2 linked regions of the Oreochromis niloticus genome follow. Each later gene encodes a partner of the first gene's protein in a complex. Links are inferred from orthologs where the notes say so. Each region holds a gene or a part of one and is shown in the gene's direction. Other genes may lie near its edges.

Region 1 (3,922 bases):
TTTCGTTCCTCTTCTCTCCAGAACAGATCTTCACCTCTCCAGGCTCTCTTCCACCTGCTCCTTACTCTCTCATAACTTTATCATTAAGACTATAATGTTATAGTCCACTGAGACTCTTGCCTGACCTCATCTGTCATCTGTCTGGCCATCGTTCCCTTCCACCTGGTCTCCTGTAAACGCAATATATCTACCTTCCTTCTCTTCATTATATCGGCCAGCTCTTTCGCTTTCACAATCACACACTCACCTCATTCCCCCTATCTTTCTCTCTTGTTGGCTCTGAACATGCCTTCCCCTCTCCTGTTTCTTTGTCTCCGGCCACTAGTAGCACAGTTTCTATTGGCACCTTGATGGCAACAGCACCAGAGGATCTTGTTTTAAACCTGCATGTAAATAGCATTGTTAATGGTCCGCATGCTTGATTTGGTAAAAATTTTATGTTGGATGGCCTTCTTGATCTAACCCGACCCATTTAGCCAGGGACTGGCACTAGGAGTACACTGACTTGTGGTCCCCAGTGCCCCCCCCCCAAGCCCACGGCTGGTTTAACAGAATATACAGTACATGTAATATAAAAATACAGTAAATAACATGACCTGTCAACACATTTCACACTTAGCTTGAACATTAAAAGAAATGTGATTGCATGATTAAAACACTAATCTAAAAATAAAAAATAAAGTCATCATAAATCTCTTAAGTAATCGTTTGACACTCAATATGATCCTCATCATGTCACTCTGTTATTCATGACCTTTGCCCCATATAAGCGGAACTTTTCTTCTCTGGGTTTTGTTTATGACATAGATATGAGGAGCACCGTATGATTCGTATGTGGTTTACGGTAATTTACCTATTTTAAGCAAGTTGATCAATAAGACAATCATTACGATAGTATTGGAAGTGATATAAGACTCATTCACCAACAATCGCAGTAAGCTCGAACTGTTATTCAGTCAACGAAATTGCGGCGACCGGCGACTTTTTGTTGAGTTTAGCAACCAACTTACACACACTACAGCCAATCGTAACCTACAACGCTGGATAATGCCAGCATTTCATTGGCTAGAGTGGGGGGCGGTCACTTCAGTCCCTCCTCTGGTTTCACCCTGAAATAATTCCGACTGCTTCTTGAGTGAAGGTTCATTGCGGTGACTGTGTAACGCTAGCTGTCTGTTTTATTTAAACGTTTCAGCTACAATGTCTGGCCGTGTTCTCGTCGGAGTTAAGCGTGTCATTGACTATGCAGTTAAGGTAATATCTGAAGTCAAATTACCTATTTTCTTTCGCGCTTTTAAAGGTATTTTTCTTTGCTCACTTATTTGACATTCTGTGCTCTGCTAGCTAATGTTAGCCTAAAATCGTCGGTTGTGGAAAACCAGAGCAACACCACACCACTGACCGGTCATATTATTTTGACAGATAAGTTGTTTGTCTCTAGCCAAATTAATGTATTCACTTATTTAATGCACAATACTGAGAAGCTGAGTTTGTGTTTAGCAGGGCAGCAAACGACTTCTTGCAAGTTGTATAACATGTCTGTTTGAACCTCTGGAATGACTTCCATGCAAATTGGGCAGTGACTTTCGCAGATTTTAAAGTAGTTTGTAAGACAGGCGTGTATGTTGCAGGAACCGGTATTCAAATGGGAATATTCTTTTACTTTTTAACATTACCCTTCAGTTGAGGGACAGCACCATAATCAATAAGCAATACTAGCTGGTGTATGTTGCAGCAAGAACAGTCCTGCCTCAGCTGCTCTCAGCAGGATCTGCACAGTGCCAAAACGACTGTGATTACAATATCCTCAGCGGTCTGATAGGTAGAGGTGTCAGTACTTAGTCAGAGTATCGGCTTTATTTATTTATTTTTTCCCATTTTAAATTGTGTGCAGTTTGGGGAAATGCCCACGCCTGCTTGTAATTTCAGATTAAGTGTTCTCATGTTATTTTATATTTTATCACTCGTGTTTTATATGACTGACTGATTACTGCAAGAATTGAATTTTTAACTGGCAAGTGTTCTGTATAAGTGAAGTTGCATTATATTGACTTTATAGCAAGGTCCATTCACAGAAACGTTAAAGCCACTAGGTTTTCTTATTTTTTTTCTTAAATTAAAAAAAAAACAAACATTAATTAAATGTTTTTTATTGTCATACAATGACAGTAAAAAACATTAATATACTGCAAGTATCCTAGCCACACTTGAGGAAGACCTTTTCCTCAACACCCTCTCTAGTCCATTGAGATGTATATACTTTTTCAGAATTTGGCATGGAAGTCGCAGCAGCTCCAAAAGTGTGCAATGTGCTGCTGGAAGTCGCAACAGCACATTACACCTTAACCACATTAAAGCAAGGCCTTATTACCCAGTGCCAGCACCAGTGCTACCTTTGTGACTTTCCAAAAGAGTAGAAGTGATTATAGTAGCACATCAATTCCAGTGGTGTTAGAATTGATCATTACAGACCAATTTTTAAAAAAAGATAAGATTAGTTAAAGGTTTTCTGCCAGCTACATTAAATCTGTTTAAATATCCATCACTGGATGTATTTACCCTTTTAACACCTTGTATTGGCTCAGTTCATTTCTAAGTTTCTGTCATTGTGTTTGTTTCTTTAATTTAGCTCCCCTGTAGTGACCCTGTGTTATTGTTTTGTTTCTCCACAGATCCGTGTGAAGCCAGACAACACTGGCGTGGTGACAGATGGCGTTAAGCACTCAATGAACCCCTTCTGTGAGATTGCTGTGGAGGAGGCGGTCAAGCTGAAGGAGAAGAAGCTTATTAAGGAGGTTGTGGCTGTCAGCTGTGGGCCACAGCAGTCGCAGGTGAATGAGCTGGGGCGAGACAGTAATTTAGCAAGTTAACTGATTTTTGGAGTTCTTTGGAGCTGCTGCAAGTTGATACATATATATACCTTTTTTTTCAGGTGTATTATTTTACATGTAAAATAACTTTTGAAATCCCATGCATATAACCTGTCAGACTCACTGTAAGCAGAAAGTGATTATTATGATGTTTACATAAATGTATTTTTAATATGTTTAAGGTTATCAACAATTATAATTTCAGGGTTGTCATCAAACATCAAGCCAAAGAAAAGTTCTCTTACATGTGTTTTTTCTAACTCAGGAGACCATCCGTACTGCCCTTGCCATGGGGGCTGACCGTGGCATTCATGTGGACGTGAGTGGGAAAGACTATGAAAACCTGGGACCCCTTCAGGTCTCTAAGATCCTGGCAGCTCTTGCCAAACAGGAGGATGCTCAGCTTATTCTCCTTGGCAAACAGGTTAAAGATTTCAGATAGTTTATTTTCCTCACACTCTCTCAAATTGCATTCTTAGTTTCCATACTCTAAAGAATACTTGCACTGCTGTTAAGTAATTAAGGACTTGTGTTTATTTCATAGGCCATCGATGATGATTGCAATCAGACTGGCCAGATGACAGCAGCTTTACTGGACTGGCCTCAGGTAAGACTACCTTAAATAGTAGCGCTGAGATATTTGACCCTATAATTATGTAGGTATTAGTTTATTTTCTTTCTTTTGTTCTCTTTTTTTGTAGATTAAGTTTCTATGTTTTCTGTTTCTTCATCTGTGTTGTATAACAGTAATGATAAGAGGATATGTTCCTGTTCCCAATAGCCTTCACTAACCTTATCAAAGTTGGTAAAAGCTAGTTTGAGTCAGTAAGATCTACAGTAATCTTGCACATATCAACAAAGCCAAAGTCAAAGGCTGCCTGGATAGATGGAGTGAAGTTCTTCTTTGGCTGGCCAAAACAGAGCACTTTAATCTTATTTACAGTGTCCAGGTTGGGCACTTGGATAGACAGATATTGTAATGTAAATGGCAAAAATTATTTCTAAATTTGGGTTGCATACATGACTCCTGTAGTCAAGATTATTTGTGGTTG
Region 2 (3,922 bases), on another chromosome or scaffold:
CTGGGTTGCTTAAATAATGCAATTTATGGGCAACACAGTAAGTAATCAATTACCTAATATAAGTAGAATGGAATACAAATATTTGCATAAAAATATAATAGAGGAGAATGAGAAAGCAACATAACTCAAATAGGCTACATTAGAACTGGACTTTAGGAAAGTACTTGAGTAAATGTACTAGTTACATTTCTTCTGATCCCATTAGTCAGTATTGGCCATTATAAGATTTAAAGTAATAGTTTAAGGACACTGGTTGATCATTGCTCTCGTTGGGATAAGGGGATTTCTCTAGTTGGGTCAGTCTCTTGGGCTTTCTAATGCCCCTGGAGGTTTTCTTCTGCAGAGGTATGCTGGAGAAGGCCATCGACTGCCATCGAGCAGTTACATTAAGTCAAGTTGTAACTCCCCAACAAGTCACACTGAGGGTTCAGGTTGATGTTACATGTCACCTGTAACATTTGCCTCAATTTCAGGACCCAGCAGAGGATTACACTGTAAGAAACAATGTAGTTTGACATAGTCCCAGTGCACAGAATGGAACTGATGTACTGCACATAGAGTTTATAGATATTGCTAATTTCATGTTGCAAGTAGTTTTTTTTAATGTTATAGCTAATTTGTGTTAAAAAAAAAAGTGAGGGGACAAAAACTTTCTTTCACTTTCTTTTCACTTCTCAAACTACACACAAAAAAAAGCTTCTCAAATATATCTCGGTAACATTTGACAATATTTATTCAAAATGTATTCTTTCTGTCTGTCTCGAAATGTATTCTACTTTTCTTTATTTTTGTCATTTTGCGTTTTCTCTACACAGCACTTGCATAGCGGAGGATCTCCAATCAGAGTTAAATGTGCTCCTGCTTGATTTGAAGAGGAAAGCAAACATTAACTTAATACGAACCCCCCCCCAAAAAAAAAACCAAACCCAAAACAAAACAAAACAAAAATGAAAGATTCTGTTTATTTATTTATTTTGGTGTTTGATATTTCTGTCAATATGATTAAACTTCACAGAGAGAGAGAGATAGAGGGAGAGAGGGAGAGCGAGAGCGTTGGCCGGAAGTTGCGGTTCTTGATCGAAGCTATCTCGCGAGAATTCCTCGCCGACGTCAGATGACCTTTGGCACAGTTTTGTGTCTGCAGGACTGGAAGGGAGCTGTAGCTTTCGGGGTCCAAGATGAACAGAGCTCTTAACAAATCAAATCTGAAACATTTGGTAAGAAGAACGCTGACACTAACTTACAGTGAGGCATTGCATTAATCGGTTAAATCAGTTTTTAACAGTAAACTCTGGTTTCTTTGCAGCAGCTACTAGCTTGCTTTATGACTTAGCTACACATTACCCGGATCATTGTCGTTTCTAGACGCAAGTGTGCTACAAGGAATTCACACATGTGGCAGTATTAGTTAACATAATGCGACAATAAGTCTGCATACTATCTCTACTTTGTGAAATAGCTCAAAAAGGAGTTAATATTTTTGGAACGAAAGCTAGTTAGTGCTAGCCTGGCTAGCCTCATGCTTATGAAACGGTTACGAAACTGCCACTTGCAGGTGTTACCAAAGAGTCAAAATTAAAAATACATATGTCTGGTGAGATGTGTAGGCAATAGGTTGGTAGGAAAATGTAGTTTTCATATGTTTTGTGTATTTTGGGCTTCTCCCTGTTATCCAATCAGTTTTTATTCCCCCCCCCCCCCCCCCCCCGCGCCCCCCCTCCCCCTTTACAGGCTCTACCATAGTTAGTGAGAATTTGGAAGGGTTACTTAGAAATTTCTTAATTATTTTACTCATTATGTCAAAAATAACTAGCTGGATCTAGCTTCAAAGGCCAGTCTCTGCCAAATTAAACCACCTATATCACCTTGAAACTGCACAGGTCCAACCTGCACTGCCGTAAAGTACAAGAATTGAGGAAGTGTTTTTAGTATTTATTGATCACAAGGTATTTATAAAGTTATGCAAAATGTTTTGTATTATTTTTCATGTGTATATTATGGATGCATTATTAAAATTGTTTGGATCTGACACAAATCCTTTGAAATACATCAAACCTGACAGAAACTTGAACTCATAGTAGATTATTTCATGAAGACAGTTTATGAAACTCAAATCTGTCATTTAATTCAGGTGGAAACTATAATTTTCTGTCCTGTGTAACCTTTGGGAGTGCTCTATTGTGCATTGTGCATATAATCTTTTTCACAGCACTGTTTTGTGGGAACCCCTGGTTGAGTTGACATGGCCTGTCCTTTTTCTCCATTTGCTGGTCTTTATCTGAATGACCTTTGCGTCACATGGCTGATTAACCGTGTGAGGTCATGTCCAGATGAGGCTGGCAGCATCCTGTTTTACTTTGACTGAGCCAGATGCAGCCGTTTTAGAGGCTGCACCGAAAATTGTTTACCCTCTATCCTGACATTATGTGTGCACCTTCCCACAGCATTTATTTCTAAAGATGATCTCAGACTCTGTATCAAAATATTTAATGCACAACCATTTATTCTAAATAATGCATGTATAAACACAGGTAAAGCATTAGGTAAAAATTATTATGTAGGACATTTGCCTGTTATACAATTTTACTGCTCACTCTTAAACACATGAAATTGGTCAGCAGATATTTATGACATTGGATTGTGTGGTAGAAATGAAGATAAAGTGAATTCAGCTTTTCTGCTCAACACTACTTCAAGATGATTGTACTGTGATGATTATGGTGTCTGTGGTCAATTTTAGGTGGCAGTATCTATCTTTTTTTTTTTTTTTTTTTCAAATGAAAAACAAATTTGATAAGAATACAGAAACATTCATATGTTACCAAGCATGTATTTTATTTTTAAACCTCTTTAGGCAGCAGAACTAACAAAACAGTGATATATTATCATTTTGACTGATTGTGTTTTCAGACTGGTCTCCTGCAGAGGTTTCAAAGCACCTTGGTCATTGCAGAACACAACAATGAAAAATTAACTCCTATTACCCTCAATGCCATCACGGCTGCTACTAAAGTGGGAGGAGAGGTGTCCTGTCTGGTCGCTGGAACAAACTGTGCAAAGGTAGGTAAAGCTTTTGATGTGCAGAGTATGTGTGTGCGTGCATGTAAATGGAATAACTAAAATGACGAAAGATTGTGTTGCCATTACGGAGCAAACGTAAAGTAAATATTAGTTAAACTGATGACAAACTTGTTAAGGGTGCAATAAAAGCGGCTGATTGCAGGAAATCTGGTTCTGACAAGAGTGGTGGTGCGCTGATAAAGTTACAGACTCACTCCTGCTGCCACAGGCACAGTAGGACAGGCTTTATTCAGGACTTCTCCTAGCTCTCCAGAGCTGAAATTGGTTGGGTTTAATGTAAAAGTACAATCATGGAATCATCAGCTTCCCTCCCCCCTTTATTAAACACCAAAGTAAAACAAAACACAACAAAGGCAGGCATGGATCACCTCTGCTATTTTTGGTGTGTTTGTGCTTCACTTTTGGAGTAGGATGTTGTAGTGTGTATTTTGCTGTACACAAAGATATGCACAAAGAAAGTTGGATGTCTTTTCTGTGTTTTCAGGTTGCAGAGGAAATCAGCAAAGTGAAAGGTGTGAAGAAGGTCCTGGTGGCCCAACATGATTCTTACAAAGGTGGCCTACCAGGTATTATTGGCGCTTCTTTTTTCAATATTTGCCAGTCTCTGAGTGATGTGGTAATTAACTTGCACAGAGAGTAATAATGTGTTTAATTAACCGCTCATATGGTTAAGAGATTAAGAACAGGTGTCACAGCATTTGCGGTATGCCATCTGCCTAATGTTGTTTCTGCTATCGGACTATTTGTTATTGAGTAATTTGTATGTATTGTGCTATTTCCTAAATCTGTAACATATTGTATTGTTAAACAGTCTAGTCTGTTTCTGTTAATGTTACTGTAT

What was found.
Region 2: the proteins of etfb (region 1) and etfa are in contact, whole or in part, in a crystal structure (PDB 2A1U), measured with the Homo sapiens proteins. The link is inferred for Oreochromis niloticus from reciprocal best matches to the Homo sapiens genes ETFB and ETFA. Residues at the interface, in NP_001976.1 of Homo sapiens: Ile14, Tyr16, Val18, Ile20, Val22, Val29, Thr31, Phe41, Leu102, Arg106, Lys124, Gln125, Ile127, Asp128, Asp129, Asp130, Cys131, Asn132, Gln133, Gln136, Met137, Ala139, Gly140, Phe141, Asp143, Trp144, Pro145, Gln146, Thr148, Phe149; in NP_000117.1 of Homo sapiens: Glu27, Leu88, Pro89, Glu90, Ser113, Ala114, Phe115, Lys117, Asn118, Pro121, Arg122, Ala124, Ala125, Lys126, Glu128, Val129, Ala130, Pro131, Ile132, Ser133, Arg146, Thr147, Ile148, Tyr149, Ala150, Gly151, Asn152, Ala153, Leu154, Cys155.

Annotation. Positions count from the first base shown.
Region 1 is NC_031976.2:28,323,487-28,327,408, forward strand, and holds the start of etfb (electron transfer flavoprotein subunit beta), read left to right. Parts: upstream 1-1,097; 5' UTR 1,098-1,200; coding exon 1,201-1,254; intron 1,255-2,672; coding exon 2,673-2,831; intron 2,832-3,135; coding exon 3,136-3,294; intron 3,295-3,414; coding exon 3,415-3,477; intron 3,478-3,922. UniProt on the Homo sapiens protein: Heterodimeric electron transfer flavoprotein that accepts electrons from several mitochondrial dehydrogenases, including acyl-CoA dehydrogenases, glutaryl-CoA and sarcosine dehydrogenase.
Region 2 is NC_031972.2:52,801,016-52,804,937, reverse strand, and holds the start of etfa (electron transfer flavoprotein subunit alpha, mitochondrial), read left to right. Parts: upstream 1-1,059; 5' UTR 1,060-1,178; coding exon 1,179-1,217; intron 1,218-2,910; coding exon 2,911-3,060; intron 3,061-3,565; coding exon 3,566-3,647; intron 3,648-3,922. UniProt on the Homo sapiens protein: Heterodimeric electron transfer flavoprotein that accepts electrons from several mitochondrial dehydrogenases, including acyl-CoA dehydrogenases, glutaryl-CoA and sarcosine dehydrogenase.